Elephas maximus indicus: one gene and its partner. The protein of the gene in region 1 interacts with the protein of each later gene in a pairwise test. Links are inferred from orthologs where the notes say so. Each region holds a gene or a part of one and is shown on either strand. Other genes may lie near its edges.

Evidence for each region. The genes of interacting proteins can lie anywhere in the genome.
Region 2: the proteins of TOX4 (region 1) and ZMYND19 interact in binary tests that used the Homo sapiens proteins (3 or more experiments, as listed by UniProt). The two-hybrid records come from large-scale screens. The link is inferred for Elephas maximus indicus from reciprocal best matches to the Homo sapiens genes TOX4 and ZMYND19.

What each region holds. Positions count from the first base shown.
Region 1 is NC_064828.1:31,829,489-31,839,720, forward strand, and holds the start of TOX4 (TOX high mobility group box family member 4), read left to right. Parts: upstream 1-6,451; 5' UTR 6,452-6,516; coding exon 6,517-6,522; intron 6,523-6,734; coding exon 6,735-6,803; intron 6,804-10,232. UniProt on the Homo sapiens protein: Transcription factor that modulates cell fate reprogramming from the somatic state to the pluripotent and neuronal fate. In liver, controls the expression of hormone-regulated gluconeogenic genes such as G6PC1 and PCK1.
Region 2 is NC_064827.1:674,844-685,366, forward strand, and holds the start of ZMYND19 (zinc finger MYND domain-containing protein 19), read left to right. Parts: upstream 1-6,044; coding exon 6,045-6,095; intron 6,096-7,395; coding exon 7,396-7,455; intron 7,456-8,435; coding exon 8,436-8,542; intron 8,543-9,544; coding exon 9,545-9,685; intron 9,686-10,523. Other genes in the region: basic proline-rich protein-like, read right to left, coding at 2,456-6,046. UniProt on the Homo sapiens protein: May be involved as a regulatory molecule in GPR24/MCH-R1 signaling.

The DNA.
Region 1 (10,232 bases):
AGAGTATTATTTTCCTTAGGGGTAAAAAAAAAAAAAAAAGTACAAATCCAATGAGATAGTGCACATGAAATCAATTTATCTGGATGAAGCAAAACTACACTGAGCCAGGCTAAATTTTAGCAGTACTATGCTTTTTTTTTTTTTTTTAATGCTTATCAAGGAGCCGTGGTGGTGCAGTTCAGCGCTCAGCTGCTAACCAAAAAGCCAGCAGTTCAAATCCGCCAGCCACTTTTTGGAAACCCTGTGGGGCAGTTCTACTCTGTTCTATAGGTCGCTGTGAGTCGGAATCGACTTGAGGGTAACAGATTTGGATGCTTATCAGGTTTTATAGTATGCATAACATTTGACCCAAGATTTTCATCTGGGGCAGACAATTCCACAGAAATTCTCAAACGTTTTCATAAAGACGAGAACAGTCAATAAAGCTTTGTAATGCTGAAAAATTGGAAACAACCCAAATGTCCATCAATGGGAGGATGGTTAAATAAATTATGGTGTAGACGGTCCATAACACTAGGCGGTGGTCAAAGGAATGAGGTAGATCTATATGTATTGATATGGAAAGATCTCCAAAACATAGAGATTGTTAATTAAAAAAAAAAAAAAATCTAAGTCACACCGCTAGGGGTCTATTTTGCCATGTTTCTATACATGTAAAAACTAAAACAAAACCACTACCATATATTTCTGTACATTTAAATGCAGAGAAAAAGTCTGAACACATGTGCACTGAATCCTTAAAAACGATTTCCTCCGGTAGAGCAAGTAGCCAAGACTGGAAGAGAGAAAGGGGTTTATGCGTGGGAAGGAGACATTCACTTTTTACTCCATAAACTTCTATTTTTTAATTTTATTTGTACGGGAAGAAACTCATATATTAATTCGGTATTTTAAAATAAAGGTCAGAAGATACAGCATTCTTAATTTTAACTGTAAGAGATGAAAACGAAAGGTTCTCTATCTCCTTGATTTTGCACTTTGCCGCTCTCAGCTCCACAATGAGCCCCGCCCTCATAGCCCGGCCCTTTCCCCTGCCTCATCCTTCACTGTTCTGTTCAGATCTTAGTGAGGGCCTCAATTACTTTGTCCTCTCTCACCGTTTCCCAGATTTGCAGTTTGGTTTGTTTTTCATCAGTGCTGTCCATAGGACCCCAAACTCTACACCTGTCAGTGAAGACCAAGAGAAAGAATGTGGTTCTCGTTAACAACAGCCGTGTTGAGTGAGGTGCTCATCCTTAATGTGCACTCAGTGCTAATAAGCTCGGCAGTGTTGCCTGTTTGCTCCAAATAATTTGTGTTCCTTGAAGTTTCTTCATTTTTCTTTAAAAAAAATGGGGGGGGCGGTTTCTAAGTGATAATGACCTCGGGATTGCAACTAAAAAGCAGACATGGGAATAAGATAAATTAAAACGTCAAGTAAAGGTGAATAAGTTTCTATCAATGTTATTGTTGTTAGGTGCTGTTGAGTCGGTTCATAGGGTCCCTATGTACAACAGAACGAAATTTGATTAGGCAGTATTTAATTTTGTAATTTTTTTTTTCAATTTTTTATTGTGCAATGTCAAGTGTTGCGTGACATTGATTTAATTCTCCATAATGTGTCAGCACTCTCCCCATTTCCCTCCTAGGTTCTTGTTTCCTTTCTTCTTGAATTGCTGTTGCTTCATGCCTCCTTATCTTTGCTTTTGGGCAAACGTTGCCTTTTTAATCTAATATAATAGATTGTTCTAGGGAACACATTCCTCTCAAGTGTTATTGTTTATTCTTTGGGCCTGTCTATGGTTTGGCTGAAAGGTGGTCTCCATGATTGTCTTCAGTTCTGTTTCAGAAGGGTAACTTAGGGCCGTAGTCTCAGGGATTCTTCCAGTGTCTGACAGACCAGTAAGTCTAGTCTTATTTTGTGAGTTTGATTTTTTGTTCTACAATTTTTCTCCTGCTCTGTGTGGAACCCTCTGTTGTGATACCAGTAGAGTGGTAGGTAAATGGTAGCTGGGCACCATCTAGTTCTTCTGATCTCAGGGTCGTGTAGTCTGTGGTTAATGTGGTCTATTAGTCCTTTGGCTTAATTACTCCCTTGAGTCTTCGGTTTTAGTCACTCTCCTTTGCTCCAGATATTAAGAGACCAATAGCTGTATGTCAAATGGCCACTCACAAGCTTTTAAGACCCCAGATGCTATGCACCAAAGTAGGATGTAGAACTTTGTCTTTATTAACTATGTTGTGCCAGTTGGTGTAGATGTCCCCTAAGTCTATGATCCTTTGCCTTCGAACCCAGGAGCTTCATCCCATGAGGTGTTTGGTTATGTCTAAGAAGTTGCCCTGACTGTGGCCCTTGTGTGCTCTACTGTCTATATAAGCAGCATCTACAGTTATGTATGTAGAAATATCTACCACCAAACCTATCTCTGCAGGTGGATGTGTTCCCTTATGCCCTCCCACACCTCTTGTCATACCTATCTACCTATGTATCCATTTGTAAATTAGTGTTTGTTAATGCTATTTTAACAGGATTTTCTATGCTACAGTAATCACTGTTGTTGCCCTTTGTTCCTCTCAGTGTCCTCCCACGCCTTGGTCATGTTTTGCTGACTTCCCCCATATTGTGTATTGCCTTTCCCTTCACAAATATTAAGACATGTCTTCCATCTCTTTGGTAATTTTCCCTCCCTTTCCCACCCATTCCTGGTAACCACCAGAGAATTTTTTTTCCCGTGTGTAAACCTTTCTTGTTTCTTTATAATAGTGATCTCATACAACATTTGTCCTTTTGTGATTGACTTATTTCACTGAGCATAAAAACCAAAAAACAAACCTTTTGCCATTGGGTGGATTCCGACTGACAGCGACCCTATAGGACAGAGTAGGACCGCCCCACAGGGTTTCCAAGGCTGCCTGGTGGATTCGAACTGCCGACCCCTTGCCCAATAGCCGTAGCTCTTAACCACTACACCAGCAGGGTTGCCTCACTCAGCATAATGTCCTCCAAATTCATTTATGTTGTGAGATGTTTCACAGATTTGTCATTATTCTTTATTGTTGCATAGTATTCTACTGCATGGATGTACCACAGTTTGTTAATTCATTCATCTGTTGATGGGCACTTAGGTTGTTTCCATCGTTTTGCTACTATGAATAATATTGTAATGAATATAAGCGTGCATATGTCTATTTGTGTCACGACTGTTATTTCTTTAGGGTGTATACCTAAGAGTGGGATTGCCGGTCAGTTTTTCTGTGGTGTGATGTATGGGTCCTGTTTAATTTTTTTTTTTACAAATGGACATACAGTTTTGCCAGCACCATTTGTTAAAGAGGCTATCTTTTCTCCGTTTAATGAACTTTGGCCTTTTGTTAAAGATCAGCTGTCCATAGGTGGATGGATTTAAATCTGGGTTGTCAATTCTGTTCCATTGGTTAATTTTGTTAAGTTTTTCATAAAATATCTAAAAATTTTGATGTCTTCTTGGAGTCACTCTGTAGTCCCCCTACATGAAACAATATATATTTTTGCACATCTGGAACTTTTTATTTATTTCTAGCTTTTTAAGGAAGTGCCATATCATTTTGCATGGTGGTTGTACCATTTTACATTCCCACCAGCAGTGTATAAGACTTCCAATCTTCCTACAACCTCTCCAACATTTGTTATTTTGTTTTTTTGATTAGTGCTGGTAATGTTGAGGTGGGATGGTATCTCGCTGTAGTTTTGATTTGCATCTCTCTAATGGCTAATGATGGAGAGCATTTCTTCATGTGTTTGTTAGCCATCTGAATGTGTTCTTCGGTGAAGTATCTGTTCATATCCTTTGCCCATTTTTTAAATTGGTTTGTCCTTTTGATGTTAAGGTGTTGAAGTTTTTTAAAATAAATTTTAGAGATTAGACTCTTGTCGGATATGTCATAGCCAAAATTTTTTCCCTGATCTGTAGGTTCTCTTTTTACTCTTTTGGAGAAGTCTTTTGATAAGCATAAGTGTTTCATTTTTAGGAGGTCCCATTTATCTAGCACATCTTCTGTTGCTTGTGCATTTTTAGTTATGTTTGGTATTCTATTAATGCCATACATTAGGGCCCCTAGTGTTGTCCCTATTTTTTCTTCCGTGATCTTTATAGTTTTAGGTTTTATATTTAGATCTTTGATCCATTTTTTTAAATTAACTTTTATTGAGCTTCAAGTGAACATTTACAAATCAAGTCAGTCTGTCACATATAAGTTAATATACATCTTACTCCTTACTCCCACTTGCTCTCCCCCTAATGAGTCAGCCCTTCCAGTCTCTCCTTTCGTGAAAACTTTGGCAGCCTCCAACTCTCTCTATCCTCCGATCCCCCCTCCAGACAGGAGATGCCAACACAGTCCCAACTGTCCACCTGATATAATTAGCTCACTCTTCATCAGCATCTCTCTCCCACCCACTGTCCAGTCCCTTTCATGTCTGATGAATTGTCTTCGGGGATGGTTCCCGTTCTGTGCCAACAGAAGGTTTGGGGACCATGACCGCCGGGATTCCTCTAGTCACATCCAGACCATTAAGTATGGTCTTTTTATGAGAATTTGGGGTCTGCATCCCACTGATCTCCTGCTCCCTCAGGGGTTCTCTATTGTGCTCCCTGTCAGGGCAGTCATCGATTGTGGCCGGGCACCAACTGGTTCTTCCGGTCTCAGGATAATGTAGGTCTCTGGTTCATGTGGCCCTTTCTGTCTCTTGGGCTCTTAGTTGTCGTGTGACCTTGGTGTTCTTCATTCTCCTTTACTCCAGGTGGGTTGAGACCAATTGATGCATCTTAGATGGCCGCTTGTTAGCTTTTAAGACCCCAGAAGCCACATTTCAAAGTGGGATGCAGAATGTTTTCATAATAGAATTATTTTGCCAATTGACTCTTTGATCCATTTTGAGTGAGTTTTTGTGTGGTGTGAGGTATGGGTCCTGCTTCATGTTTTTTTTTTTTTTTTTTACAAATGGACATCCAGTTTTGCCAATACCATTTGTTAAAGAGACTATCTTTTCTCCATTTCCTGAACTTTGGCCTTTTGTTAAAGATCAGCTGTCCATGGATGGATGGATTTACATCTGGGTTCTCAATTCTGTTCCATTGGTTAATTTTGTAACTTTTTCAAAAAAATACCTAAAAATTTTGAAAATATTTCTTGATGTGTTTTTAGAGTTACTCTCTAGTCCTCCTACATGAAACTATATATTTTGCACCTCTAGAACTTTTTGTTTGAGAAAGAAGCCTATCTGAGAATTAGGTTGTCAAGAGTGATATACTTCGGATGTTTAATAACTCCCATAGTTCATTGGAAAGTAGTCTCTTGAATAAAAAATAGGAGTATGGAAATTGGCAGTCTGAATAAGTCTTTTGGTTTACCTGGCATTCACCTTGTCTCAAGAATTAAAAACTGAAGGTCAGTTACATGAAAAATTCTTGGCCACAGTCAGACAACTTGGCCTACTTTCTATCTTCATACAGTACTTTGCACATAGCATGAGGAATTCTGATTTGCAAGAAAGTGCACTAATACGGCTTATGCTAAAGGGTTGATATACACTTGTTCAGTGTCTCACATAGGTACGCAGAGATATCCAAAATATCTCAACTCTAAGGTGCTGCAGTTAAGGAAGATACAAGAATCACTTCGTACTATTCTAGATTGCTTCATGAAGTATCGAGTGGTAGCTACTGAAAAAAAGTTGCTAAATCTTTTTTCCCCCTAGAGTAGGAATAGAATTTCAACAGGTTAGAATTGAAAATAAAGCTTTTGTCTCCCTTTATGCAGTTTCCTCTAGTTATGCACTCAAAGACTCTACAATTTGTATAGATTTTCTATCCAACTGTCATATTTTCTATCCAGCTGTCGTATTCTCTTGGTACAGAGAACAGAATTCTGAAAGAAACATGTCCTCTGTCGGACTCTGGGGAAAACTTGATTGATCACTACACTTCTCGGTTTTAAAACTTGTCATTTGCTCAACATTTCCTTCAGGTGAGCCTTGCTGGCAGAGTGGTTAAGTGCTAAGCATAAAGGTCGGCAGTTCGAATCCACGATCCCGCTCCTTGAAACGCTATGGGCAGTCCTACTCTGTCCTATAGGGTCGCTGAGTCGGAATGGACTCGACAGCAACGGGCCTTCCGGTGTTTTAAAACTTGGTACCTAATTTTTTCTCTAGCTTTACTTCTTGCCACGCTTCGAACTCCATGCTCCAGCCATATTAAATCACTTTCAGTTTTCCAAAAGTGGCCTGATTCCTGTTCTCTTCAGAAAACCTCTCTCGATCCGGAGCGGCGGAAACACTCCAACGCCGCCTCCAAAGACGCCTCTAGCACCTCCACATGCCATTACTCCACCTAGCTCCAGGGGGCGAGCGTTAGCCTCTCCGTACGCTCGGCCTTGCTAGGCCTGACTGGCTGCCGCAAAGAGTGACGCACATCCTTACGGAAGTGACGTAAGTTCCGAGTCCAGTAGGGGCGGTGGGAGCAATGAGGGGAGTAAGGCGGTGGTAGCTGTTGTGTGAAGATGGAGGTAGGAACCCGAGCGCTAAGAAGGCTGGCGAGAGAACGCGGCCGACGGGGTTGAAGCAGAGGCGAGAGGCCGGGCGGAGAGGCGGCTGACGGGGGAGGAGAGAGACAGCCGGGTTTGGGGAGTGTTGTCAGAAGGTCGGGGTCAGAATACGTCGCTCCAAGCTCCTCCCTGCTCCCGCTAACTTATCCCCGCGGCTTTCTTTTGGTTTCCAGTTTCCCGGAGGAAATGACAATTACCTGACGATCACAGGGCCCTCGCACCCCTTCCTGTCAGGGGCCGAGGTGAGCAAGAGCTGCCGACGCTGCGGGGGGAGGGCCTGAGGCAGCGGGCGGGGGTGGGGGTAGGTTGGTGGGGCGGGGAGCGCGGAAGCCGGGGGCCGGGGGCTGGGAACCGGGGCCGCGATTGGTGTTTAGAGAAAAGTGGCAGCTGCTTCTGGAGCCTGTGAGGACTGTGTGGGGTGGGTCCGGGCAACTGCTGTCATTAGAAAAGCAGAACGTTGGAAAGAGATTATCTGTTTAAGGAGAAGATTGATTCTGGATTGGAAGACTGCGAGGAACTGTCTCATTTTGTTGGGCTTGAAAATTTTTAGCTAAAGAAATTGGGATGAGGGGAGGAGCTTACCTAGCAGGGGTTAAGTGTGGATATGTGCTCATTCTTGAAAGGAACACTGTTTAAGGGATCTTTTTCCATTTACATTTCCTACTCAGGAAATGTAAAAAGTTAAAAAATTAGTAGGTATGTTTACATACATGGTGCCAGCATGTTTTGCTAATGACAAGAGGAAAAGAAATAGTTGCCAGAGAACATGAAGAGAGTTGAGTAGAACATGTCTTCTTGCTTGCCAGTGACTCAGAGTTTCGGCAGGTTGCTTCCTCTTTGTATGTCACAGTTTCCCTAGCTATCACGTGGCTATAATAATAGTTTATGATGTTGTGAAGTAGAAGTAATTGTTATGGTAAGGTCCTTTAGTATTTGTGGAATATTGTCAGAATACAGATTTGTATCACTTGTTTAGACAAGGCAAAACAGAAAGGTGGAACATACAAAATACATTTTTCAGTCTTTGAGAAAGTGTGAAGTCTTCATCTTTCTACTGTCTTTTGAGTATTATTTTTTCCATGAGTAGAGTGAACAATTTGCATCTGTTTTTGTACCAAGGATTCTCAATTGCTGTTGAACGGGCTTATCCTACAATAAATCCTAAAATTCTCATGGATGAGAATAAGGTTGACAAGGAGCAGTTGCTAGTCTTTTTTTTTTTTTTTAACTTCTTTATTGGTATTATCATTTATTACTCCACCATTGAATTTCAGTTTTTGGAATGTTATAAATTTCACATTAGCCTCATCCACGTGAAAGTACATTTCAAAACTAAATATAAGTAGCTTTCAAATTTACCCATGATTCTTAATCCTTTGCCCCTTTTATGAACTTGTAACTACATAAGAAGTGGCGCCTTTTTATAACTTCAAGAAACTCTTCAGGTTTAAGGCTGATCTTTTTTGATGACTTTAAGAAAAAAATAGAACATTTTTGTCAAGAAACTCATAACTAAATTTTAGACTCAAGTTCAGTAGCTTCCTGTAGCCTAGGACTTCTGTCATTGCTAACTTTTAATGGGTTTGTGGCTTTTGTTGTATCTGATCTTACTGTGAGCCACCCCAAATATAGTTTAGAGATAAGCAAAGGTAATTTTTAAAAAAATTTTTTTTAGAGTTTTCTTATAAGAAAAGGATAGACATCTACAAAGGGCATTAACCATAAAAGAAAACACAGAGAAATTGGACTTCATTGAAATAAGGAACTTTTTTTGTTAAAAGACATCATTAAGAAAGTAAATAGGAACTCCATAGATTGGGAGAAGATGTTTACAATACATATATATCTGATTAATATTCAGAGTACATCAAGTAATTCTGCAGAGTAAAAGAACTGAATTTAGAAATAGGCAAAAAATTTGAGCAGGTACTTCACAAAAGATGATATCCATGTTGCTATTAGGCATATAAAAAAGTGTCATCATCACTTATCAGGGAAATGCAAATTAAAATCATAATTAGAAACTATTGCCTACCTGCTAAAAAAAAAAAAAAAACCTGCTAGAAGGTTAAAATTAAAAAGACTGACAATTCCCAAGAGTTTGCAAGGATGTAGATAACCTCATTCATTGCTGCTGAGAGTATAAATTGATTCAACCACTTAGGAAAACTGGCAGCATATACTAAAGATAAGCTTATGCCTACACTGTGACCCATCAGTTCCACTCGTTGATACATACTCAAGAGAAATGAGTGCATATGTTCACTAAACATATGTAAGAATGTTCACAGCAACTTTACTCATAATAGCTAAACATTGGAACCAACCCAGGTATCAACTGAAGAACGGATAAGTAAACTGTGGCACATTTGTGAAAGGAATACTACATAACAATAAAGAAAGAATGAACTACTAATAAATACTACAATAACTTGGATGATCTCAAAAATATATTTTTGACTGAAAGAAGGCAGATACAAGAGTATACACTGTATGAGTTCATTTTTTTTGTGAAGGTAAGGATAGGCAAAAATTAAACTTTTCATTAGGTGCTGTTGAGTCAGTTCTGATACATCGACCCTGTGTACAACAGAATGAAACACTACCTGGTCCTGCACTGCCCTCACAGTGGTTGCTATGTTTGAACCAATTGTTGCCGCCACTGTGTCACTCCCGTTCGTTGAGGGTCTTCCTCTTTTTTGCTGATCCTCTACAAAGCATGATGTCTTTCTCCAGGGACTAGTCCCTCCTGCTAACATGTCCAAAGTACGTGAAACGAAGCCTCACCATCCTCGCGTCTAATGAGCATTCTGGCTGTACTTCTTCCAGGATAAACTTGTTTGTTCTGGCGGTCCATGGTATATTTAATATTTTTTGCCAGCACCATAATTCAAAAGCATCAATTCTTCTTCAGTCTTCCTTATTCATTGTCCAGCTTTTGCATATAAGACAATTGAAAATATCATGGCTTGGGTTGGGCACACCTTAGTCCTCAAAGTGACATCTTTGCTTTTTAACTTTAAAGAGGTCTTTTGCAGTGGATTTACCCAATGCAATATGTCGTTTGATTTCTTGATTGCTGTTCTCATGGGCTTTGATGGTGGATCTAAGTAGAATGAAGTCGATAACTTCAATATTTTCTCCATCTATTATGAAGTTATTTAATGGTCCAGTTGTGAGTGTTTTTGTTTTCTTTATGTTGAGGTGTTGAAGGCTGTAGTCTTTGATCTTCATCAGTAAGTTCTTCAAGTTCTCTTTGCTTTCAGCAAACAAGGTTGTGTCATCTGCATAACGGGGGTTGTTAATGAGTCTTTGTCTGATCCTCTTGCCATGTTCTTCATATAGTCCAGCTTCTCGGATTATTTGCTCAGCATATCGATTGAGTAAGTATAGTGAAAGGATATAGCCCTGACACACACCTTCCCTGATTTTAAACAATGCAGTATCCACTCATTCTGTTTGAACAAGACTGTTTCTTGGTCTATGTACAGGTTCTGCATGAGCACAATTAAGTGTTTTGGAATTCCCATCCTCTGTAATGTTATCTGTAATTTGTTAAGATCTACACAGTCAAATGCCTTTGTGTAATCAGTAAAACACAGGTAAACATCTGATATTCTCTGCTTTCAGCCAAGATCCATCTGATATCAACAATGATATCCCTCATTCCT
Region 2 (10,523 bases), on another chromosome or scaffold:
CTGGTGAACTCTGGATCGCCAGCGTGATCCTGTGGAAATGTGACCCCACTGCTCAGACCCCCCGGTGACCTCACTTCTGTCTTAGGTCAAAGTCCTTCAACAGCCTTCATAGCCTCCCCCCTTGCCCTTTGACCTTACCCCTGCTGTCTCTCCGCTGTCCACTCCAGTCCCTCAAACCTGCCTCACTCACATGTCCCCAGCTCAGGGCCTTCACACTGGCTGTTCCCCGTGCTAGGAATGTTCCTACCCTAACCATCCGTGTAGCTCATCCACTCCTCCCACTGTTTGCTCAAAAGCAGTTTTCCCAGTGAGGCTCTGCCCAGGGCTTCACACTGGCACCCCCACTTCTTTATCTGAGCTCCTTCCTTTCCTTCCTAACATGCTGTGTCTTTCACTAGAGGTGTATTTCTGTCTCTCTCACTGGTGTGTGAGCTGGTTTAAGTCCCCCATGCCTCCTCCAGGACCTGGATAACAGAGTGGGTGCCCAGTGATGACAAAGGTCCTTGGGCCTTGGGCCTTGACGAGGGCCATCATGTGGAGCAGATGACCCAGAGATGGTGTGGTCGGCAGAGTGGCCCCCAAAGGTATAGCACCCTCACTGCAGGAACTTGGTGTTTCATGGCAGATGTAATTAAGGTCACCGATCAGTGACCTTACAATGGGGGTTATCCTGGGTTATTGATCAGGGACAATGGACTCACACGAGCTCTTAAAAGCAGAGACCTTTCTCCAGCTGAAGGAAGGAGAATCTGAAGCTGAGAAAGGCTCCTCCTGCCATTGCTGGCTTTGAAGATGAGGGAAATGCAGGTGGCCTCCAGAGGCTGAGAAGGGCCGATTTGCTGGCCACCTGAGTGATCCTGGGAGCAGCCTGTTCCAGAGCCTCCCCAGTGGCGGCCCAGACCGCCAGCACCTGCAGTAGAGAAACCCACTTTGGACCCACGGAATGGTGAGATCATGGATTTAATACGCTTCATTTGTGGTAGATTGTTAAAAAGGCATAGAAAATGAATATGCTAGGAGAAAAGGCACAGGAGACAGTGGCTCGAGGGGGGTGTAGGGGAGAGTTTTCCTTTTAATGGGTACCTGACAGAGGAATGGGTGCTGTCTCATTTCACCCGCACACACACTGAAGCCATGCATTGGCATGTTCTTTATACTTGGGGGCTGCATTGAGACCCAGAGACCAAGTGACTTGCCCAGAGCAGTCCAGGCACATGCCCTCCACCATCTGGGCCCTGCTCACAGCACCTTACACCTGCCATTTTCATCTCCATCACCTGAAAGTTCTCTCCCTTCAGCTGTGGCTGTGGGAGCCAGCTCTGCCAAGCAGGCTAGATATGACAGGGACAGACCTTCCCCAGGACCAGCCCCAACCAAGGACCCAGCAGAGCAGGGGAGTAGGTGCCCCTCTGTGTCCCATACTGACTTCCAGAGTGTACCGGGAAGAGCTCCGCTGGCTTTAGCAACACCTTTTACGGGTTCCTGTTCTTCTCTTTCCTGCTTCCCGTTCCCACTCCCCTTCCAGTGCTTTCTGGGACCTCCTCCCAAACAAACAACTTGCACTAAAATCCCTGTTTCAAGTCAAGCCTAAACCAAGGTACCAGTGTCCCTTGGCTGTCCTCCAAGAGCCGCACCCAGCTCTCGTGCTTGAGGTGCTTCATCCCAGGGCACTTTCTCAGAATTCATGCACCTTCAGGATTCTGGGAGGTTGGTAGGACAGGGTGTCCCGATGAGTAAGGACCAGCCTTGAACCCAGATGCCTCATCTCCACACAACCAGGACCAACAGCCTTTCCTCTCCCCCAGGAAGGCAGGGATATGCCCCAAGCAGAGGTGGGTCTAGGCCTCGCCCCCAACCCTGACAGATGCCCACCAGGCCCTTGGCCCCTCCCTGGTGGGCCCTTCTTCCCAGAGACCTAAGAGGCCAGAATGGAATTCTCTGAAGTTCCTGTTTCGGGAAAGACTTGGGCCTAGGACCCTTCCTGCCCCAGCTCACAGAGGAAGGCTGGCTCTCACAAAAGGCTGGTGTGGCTTGAAGGTGGGCTGCATGGAGAAGCCCCAGGCCCTGGTGGCACCCTGCCCCACTACTCTAACTGGGTATCTACCAAGACCATGAGAAGTGGAGCGTGCAAGTGTCCTGAAGGACAGGAAGACACTCACTGCCCCAGCCAGCAAGCAACCCCCCTCAGGTGGGCAGGGGGCTTAAGCAGTCTTTGCAGGACCTGTCCCCAGCACCAGCATCTGGCCAAGATCCTGGAGCGTGGCCCCCTCGCTCCAGTCCTCCCCACATCCAAAGACTACCCTAGCCATCGGCCCGAGGGTAGCCTGATCCTGCCCTGCTCAAGATCCCCCTGGAGCTCCGGGACCCGGGCCCACTCACACCCCTAGCCGGGCCTGGCCTTGGGGCTCGCCGTCCCTGCAGCAGCAGCAGCAGCAGCAGCAGCAGGCTCTGCTCTTTACCCCTCTCCCTTCTGGACTTGGTGGAAGAACGGGTAACAAAGACTGCGGCCCACCTCTGAGAGCCCCGTGGGCCCGGCAAACCCGGAGACCCAGACCGCAGGGTCTCTTGGAATGCCCGGAGCCACTGTTGCTTGAGGACCAGGGTTGCCATGAGGAAGGGTTGGCCTCGGCCTAGGGTCGGTGGGCCGGGGAGACACGGGCGGGGAGGAGGGGACCGGCCGGGCGTCAGAATCAAGGGCCTGTGGTCGGGGAAGGGGCGAGGCGGACAGCGGGGCGGGGCCGGACCGAAAAGCCACGGGCGCCACGGGGCGAGGGGGCGAGGGCAGGGACCGAGAGGCCACGGGAGGCACGTGGGGGAGCGAGGGCAGGGACCGAGAGGCCACGGGCGGCACCGGGGGAATGGGGGCAGGGACCGAGAGGCCACGGGAGGCACGTGGGGAATGGGGGCAGGGACCGAGAGGCCACGGGCCTGGGACAGGGGGCGGGGGCGGGACCGAGAGGCCACGGGCGGCACGGGGGGGGCGAGGGCAGGGACCGAGAGGCCACGGGCCTGGGACAGGGGGCGGGGGCGGGACCGAGAGGCCACGGGCGGCACGGGGGGGGGTGGAAGCCTCGACAGAGAGGCCACGGGCCTGGGACGGGGGACGGGGGGCGGGGGGCGGGGGGCGGGGGCGGGACCGAGAGGACACGGGCGGCACCGGGAGTGGGGGCAGGGACCGAGAGGCCACGGGCGGCACGGGGGGGGCGAGGGCAGGGACCGAGAGGCCACGGGTGGCACCGGGGGAGTGGGGGCAGGGACCGAGAGGCCACGGGCGGCACCGGGGGAGTGGGGGCAGGGACCGAGAGGCCACGAGCGGCACGGGGGGGGCGAGGGCAGGGACCGAGAGGCCACGGGCGGCACCGGGGGAGTGGGGGCAGGGACCGAGAGGACACGGGCGGCACCGGGAGTGGGGGCAGGGACCGAGAGGCCACGGGCGGCACGGGGGGGGCGAGGGCAGGGACCGAGAGGCCACGGGCGGCACCGGGGGAGTGGGGGCAGGGACCGAGAGGACACGGGCGGCACCGGGAGTGGGGGCAGGGACCGAGAGGCCACGGGCGGCACCGGGGGAGTGGGGGCAGGGACCGAGAGGCCACGGGCGGCACGGGGGGGGCGAGGGCAGGGACCGAGAGGCCACGGGCGGCACCGGGGGAGTGGGGGCAGGGACCGAGAGGACACGGGCGGCACCGGGAGTGGGGGCAGGGACCGAGAGGCCACGGGCGGCACCGGGGGAGTGGGGGCAGGGACCGAGAGGCCACGGGCGGCACGGGGGGGGCGAGGGCAGGGACCGAGAGGCCACGGGCGGCACCGGGGGAGTGGGGGCAGGGACCGAGAGGACACGGGCGGCACCGGGAGTGGGGGCAGGGACCGAGAGGCCACAGGCGGCACGGGGGGGGCGAGGGCAGGGACCGAGAGGCCACGGGCGGCACCGGGGGAGTGGGGGCAGGGACCGAGAGGACACGGGCGGCACCGGGAGTGGGGGCAGGGACCGAGAGGCCACGGGCGGCACCGGGGGAGTGGGGGCAGGGACCGAGAGGCCACGGGCGGCACGGGGGGGGCGAAGGCAGGGACCGAGAGGCCACGGGCGGCACCGGGGGAGTGGGGGCAGGGACCGAGAGGACACGGGCGGCACCGGGAGTGGGGGCAGGGACCGAGAGGCCACGGGCGGCACCGGGGGAGTGGGGGCAGGGACCGAGAGGCCACGGGCGGCACGGGGGGGGCGAGGGCAGGGACCGAGAGGCCACGGGCGGCACCGGGGGAGTGGGGGCAGGGACCGAGAGGCCACGGGCGGCACGGGGGGGGCGAGGGCAGGGACCGAGAGGCCACGGGCGGCACCGGGGGAGTGGGGGCAGGGACCGAGAGGCCACGGGCCTGGGACAGGGGGCGGGGGCGGGACCGAGAGGCCACGGGAGGCTACGGGGGTCGTGGGGGCCGGGACCGAGAGGCCACAGGCGGCACGGGGGGGGGCGAGGGCACGGACCGAGAGGCCACGGGCGGCACCGGGGGAGTGGGGGCAGGGACCGAGAGGCCACGGGCGGCACGGGGGGGGGCGAGGGCAGGGACCGAGAGGCCACGGGCGGCACCGGGGGAGTGGGGGCAGGGACCGAGAGGCCACGGGCGGCACGGGGGGGGCGAGGGCAGGGACCGAGAGGCCACGGGCGGCACCGGGGAATGGGGGCAGGGACCGAGAGGCCACGGGCGGCACGGGGGGGGCGAGGGCAGGGACCGAGAGGCCACGGGCGGCACCGGGGGAGTGGGGGCAGGGACCGAGAGGACACGGGCGGCACCGGGAGTGGGGGCAGGGACCGAGAGGCCACGGGCGGCACCGGGGGAGTGGGGGCAGGGACCGAGAGGCCACGGGCGGCACCGGGGGAGTGGGGGCAGGGACCGAGAGGACACGGGCGGCACCGGGAGTGGGGGCAGGGACCGAGAGGACACGGGCGGCACCGGGAGTGGGGGCAGGGACCGAGAGGCCACGGGCGGCACCGGGGGAGTGGGGGCAGGGACCGAGAGGACACGGGCGGCACCGGGAGTGGGGGCAGGGACCGAGAGGACACGGGCGGCACCGGGGGAGTGGGGGCAGGGACCGAGAGGCCACGGGCGGCACGGGGGGGGCGAGGGCAGGGACCGAGAGGCCACGGGCGGCACCGGGGGAGTGGGGGCAGGGACCGAGAGGCCACGGGCGGCACGGGGGGGGCGAGGGCAGGGACCGAGAGGCCACGGGCGGCACCGGGGGAGTGGGGGCAGGGACCGAGAGGCCACGGGCCTGGGACAGGGGGCGGGGGCGGGACCGAGAGGCCACGGGCGGCAACGGGGGTCGTGGGGGCCGGGACCGAGAGGCCACGGGTGGCACGGGGGGGGCGGGGGCAGGGACCGAGAGGCCACGGGCCTGGGGCGGGGGGTGGGGCCGGGACCGAGAGGCCACAGGCGGCACGGGGGGGGTGGAAGCCTCGACAGAGAGGCCACGGGCCTGGGACGGGGGACGGGGGACGGGGGGCGGGGGCGGGACCGAAAGGCCACGGGCCGGACGAGGGGCGGGGGCCGGGGGCCGGGACTGAGAGGCCACGGGCCGGACCGGGGGGTGGGGACGGACCGCCAGGCTCCGCGGAGCACAAAGCTTCCCGCGAAACTGACGTAGGCGCACGCCCGCCGCGCAAGCACCGCCCCTTCGCCCCGCCCCTCCCCCGCGCTTGCTTGGCTCCGCATTGCGCCTGCGCGCCCGCTGTCCTCCCATTGGTCGCTGAGCGTCGGCGCGCGCCGGCCGGCGCGGTGCGCGGCTCGCGATTGGCTGGCGGGCGCGGGCCGGGGGTGTGTTCGCGGCCGCGCCCCGCCCTCTGCTGCTCCACTCGCGGCGGTGCGCGCGGCGGTGGCGGCGGCGGCGGCGGCGCGTGGCAGGTCCGGCGGGCGCGAGGCGGCGCGGCCCGAGCCCGGCCCAGCCTGTCCGCCCGGGCCGCCTGGACCCGCCCGGTCCGCCGCGGCCTCGCCGCCCGGCCTCAACCCGGCGCCTCCCGGGGGAGCGGCGCGCCGGCGAGCGCGCAGGCCCGGCCATGACCGACTTCAAGCTGGGCATCGTGCGGCTCGGCCGGGTGGCCGGCAAGGTGAGCGGCGCGGGCCGGGCGGGCGCGGCGGGCGGTTGCGGCGGCGGGCGGTTGCGGCGGCGGGTGGGCCGGGCCCCGCGGCGCGCCTCCCTGCACAGGCCGGCCGCGGCCCGGAGCGCACCCCTCCTGCGGGCCCGGGCCGGCTAAGTGCGCGGCGGGCCGCTCCCGCCTCGGGTTGGAGGCCCCGGGACGGAGGCCGCGCTCCTGTACCGCCCGGGGGGCTCCCGCGCCCGGCCGCGCTCACCTGCGGCACCTCCGAGGGGTGCTTAGGGGCCGGGGCCTAGCCGGTGTCGGGGTGCGCTGGCGGCGCCCCGCGTGCGCGCAGACCTGTCCGGTGCTCCTGGCTCTGTCTGTTGAGGCGGCCCCGCGGGGGCCGGTGGCAGAGAGCGCAGCCAGCCCTAGTGGAGCGCCGGCGCGGTGAGGCCGCCAGGGGCTGGCCGAGGGTGGCCACCAGTGGGCCCATCAGGGCAGGGTCCTGTGCGGCGAGGCTGAGGGTCCACTCACTCCTCTTTCTGGTCCTCGCCCTCCAGCGTTTGAGGCCGGGGCCTCGGGCACCCGTGAGCTTGGCTGTTTCCAGGGGCTGGCTGTCCCGCTGCACCCACCGCTCCCCAAGGGGAACCTGGTGCCTGCTCCCAGTGGCTGAGGCTTGTGGTGGGAGACAGGAGCGGAGGCAGACGAAGGTGAAGTCCAGTGGGCTGGGAATTGTCTCCGCCGGTACCAGCAGTGAGAGAAGATTAGGGGCAGTTCCTGTCCTTCCTCAGGAGCGCGGGCAAAGGCCCTTGGGATGCGCTTTCTGACCAGGGAAGGGCTGCTCCGTCCCAGTTGCCCGGAGACTCTTTCTGACATAGTAGTTGGATGCATTAATGCCATCACTTAAGATTTTTGTCTGGAACACTTAAGGCAGAAAAAGCTAAAGAGAATGAATCAGGGAGCAGCTGTAAACTTCACTCAACTTAATAAATGCTAATTGGAGCCTCCTGGGTGTTCTTTCTCAATCAAGGCCGATCTTTCTACCTTAGTAACTAGATTTAAGGAGCTGTTACAGAGACTTTGGCAGGTGGTCTGGCTCAGTGTTGTTCTTACAGTGAGTCTTATGTGGATGGAGGTTCAAACCTTGTTACTTGTCTCTCTGATGCCAAAGTGGAAATGCATCCACCGAGAGTGGACTGAGAGGCTCGCTTGCTGACCTGTCCTGACTTCTCAGCTAGCATACCTCACGGCTGCCTATTACAGTTTATAATTTCAGGGTGCCATTAGTTCGTCCCAAATATAAAAATGTTACACATTTGTTAATTTCCAGACCAAGTACACGCTGATCGATGAACAAGATATCCCCCTGGTGGAGAGCTACTCCTTCGAGGTAAGGATGGCGTTCTCTGCGGGCCAGGTTGGGGCTGATGGTGGTCTTGAGAACGTGTCGTCCTGCGCTGTAAGCGTGGAATCTTGTCCTGAGTAGCTGGTGCTGGCTGTGGACCACTTGGGGCCACCACATCCAAACCACGGTGTCACAGTAGTCTGACGGTCACTGCTGCTGGGGTTCACAGTGGACTCTCCCTGCAGCTCCCGCTGGCCAGAAACACTGACCTTTCCCTGCATCCATTCTGCCTGCCAGCTCTGTTCCCCAAAAACAGACCAGATTCTGTCGACTTTGACTAAATGTCTTTGTCAAACCTGTTGAAGCTGTTAATCCTTAGAAACGCTTGCTGGTCTCCCGCCTTGGTCCTGCCTACCCCCATCAGCCGGAAGGCCTCCCCCCTCCGATCGCTCCACGTCCCTGCTGCCCTGGGCCTAGGTGTGGCCTTCTCGCCTCTTTCTCATCGTCTTCTACCCGTTGGACTCTTGTCCATGCCTCTGATCTTCATCTAATATCCCCTTTTCTTGGAAAACTCCTAGGAGTTTGTTGCTGCTCTGCGTTTTCTTCTGGGTCCCTAACCCTTCTCACTGTGGTTGTTTGTTCAAGGGCTTATTTTGCCCCCTGGCTGGGGGCTTTTCTAAGGGTAGGGACAGCTCTGATCACACTTCTGTCCACAGTGCTTTGTTGTGAGCATTTGCCAGAGCGGAGAGAGCACAATTGTGAGTATTTGCCAGAGCGGAGAGAGCACAATTGTGAGCATTTGCCAGAGGGGAGAGAGCACAATTGTCAGGATGTGGTGTGGTGCCTGTGCTCCTGGTTGGGAAACCTCTCAGGACACGATGGCACGTCCCAACAGGCACTTGGACCTAGGCTGGTGCTGGCATTTGTTCCTCCGGCTTGTCTGTTTCACTTTGTTTCTAGGAAGAGTTTGAAATGTTGGTGAGAATCAGAAATGTGTTAACTGACCTTCCCTTGTTCCTTCTTAGGCTCGGATGGAAGTAGATGCAGATGGAAATGGTGCTAAGATATTCGCTTATGCCTTTGACAAGAATCGAGGACGGGGCTCTGGACGGCTGCTGCATGAGCTGCTGTGGTGGGTATTTACAGCAGTGGCCGTGGCGGCGGCCGCAAGTACAGTGGGCTTCCCTTATCCCCCGCCTTGGGCTTTGTGGGCACGGGGCACAGAGGTGGTGAGCAGATGGTTCCCTTGGGCTGGATCTGCCTCGCCACCTCTGAGCGTCCTTTCCACTAACCTGAAGGAGTGACTAATTTTCATCTTATGTTACTTAGTACCTATCTTGAAAGTCTCCCAGTTGCCAGGGAACTTGCTGCCCTGGGCTCTGACGGGGCAGGCATGGGGTGGGGGCTGTCTCACCTGGGTGTGTGCAGCAAGATCCCTTGGGGGGTCCCTCCTTGTTTGGTTTTTCAGTCCAGGAACTGAATTGCCAAGGGTAGGGACTCTGTTCTGTCTGTTTCTAACTCCCATACTGGGCTTCCTCTGGCCCAGTCCTGCCCCGGAACTTGCCCATTGGGATTTTAAGGGCCATTTCAGATCCTGTGGCTTGTTTTTCTTTCTGGTTGTGCCTTCACATTTAACCAAAAATATTTGTGAGGTATACTAACAGGATGCAATGTTATTGGTTATAAAGAGATATATACTACGACACAGTAGAACCTTGAAAATATCGTGACGAGAAAAGTTAGTCACAAAAGCATAAATGTTATACCATCTTTTACATGAAACGTCTAGAATAGACCAACATAAAGTAAAACTTATTAGTGGCAAGAGAAGGGGGAGGAGCGGGGGGGTGGTGGTCACTGCTTAGAGGGCACTGGGTTTTTGTTAAGAGTGATGGAAAACTTGGAACTTGGTGGTGATGGCCACACGGCACAGTGGACTTGATAACATCACTGATGGGAAATCTGGAACATGGTGATGATGGCAACACAACACGACAAAGATAACGATGTCACCGAATTATACATGTAAAAATGTTAAAACCGCAAGTGTTTTATATGTATTTTTATCACGTGCACGTAAAAACCCATGTTTGTGAGGGTCTGGTGGGCCACTCTTGAGCATTTCTGTCCCTAGGGAGCGGCACAGGGGTGGTGTTGCCCCCGGCTTCCAGGTGGTGCATCTCAATGCTGTGACTGTGGACAACCGGCTGGACAACCTGCAGCTGGTGCCCTGGGGCTGGCGACCCAAGGCCGAGGAGCTTTCCAGCAAGCAGAGGTGGGTCCTCACGGGGTGGTGCCAGTGGCCAGGCTGGTGGCCTGAGGCCCTCTTCGTAAGGGGTACGTCGGCTCTCTGCCCTGACCCTGCTGTGTGCATTTGGACCTGGTATGGAGTCTCTCTGTCTTTTATGGAGTAGGAGAGGATTATGGTGTAGTCTTTGTGGGCTCATCTCCTGGTGACTGTTTCCGGGGGTCTTCTTCAGCTGCTGTGATGAGTGAGGGCATTTGGCTGTGTGCCTGCAGGCAGCAGGACCACAGTGGCCAGGGCAGTGGCAGGCCTTTGCATGCTTCCTCCTGAGGAGGCTGCCTGTGTGACCACATGGGGCTTTGGTTGTGCTCCAAGCCATGGTGGGAGGATGCAGGGACTCCGCCTGGCACAAGCCTCCCTCTTGGGGTCTGGGGCCCTCAGGCAGCCTAGATGCCAGCCTCTCAGAGCCCTGGGAAGGCAATCACCCTGGCAGGGCCCAAACTGGGGTGCCTCTGGTGTCCTATTGTGTCTGTACCAATGGTGGATTTCCCGTGGCCTTCTGTGCACGTTGTCAGCCTTGGGGCTTTGAGAAAAGCCTTTCTTGATTTTGGCAACATTTCTCAAAAGACGGCAGTCGGTGCTGTGGGCCTGTTCAGTGTCTCGGTCATCCTGATCATTGGTGGCTGTGGGAGGAGGTCTTGCCATCATCTCCCTTGGCGTTTCCAGCAGCCAGGTACAGCGGGGCGGGATGGCGAGCTCCAGGAGAGCCCTGTGCAGTGAGGTAACTCTGGGCGTCAGCCTTGCTACCTCCTCAGGGGCCTTGGCCAGGTCAGAGGGTGGGATCGGGCTCTCCCACTCTCTTGGCTTT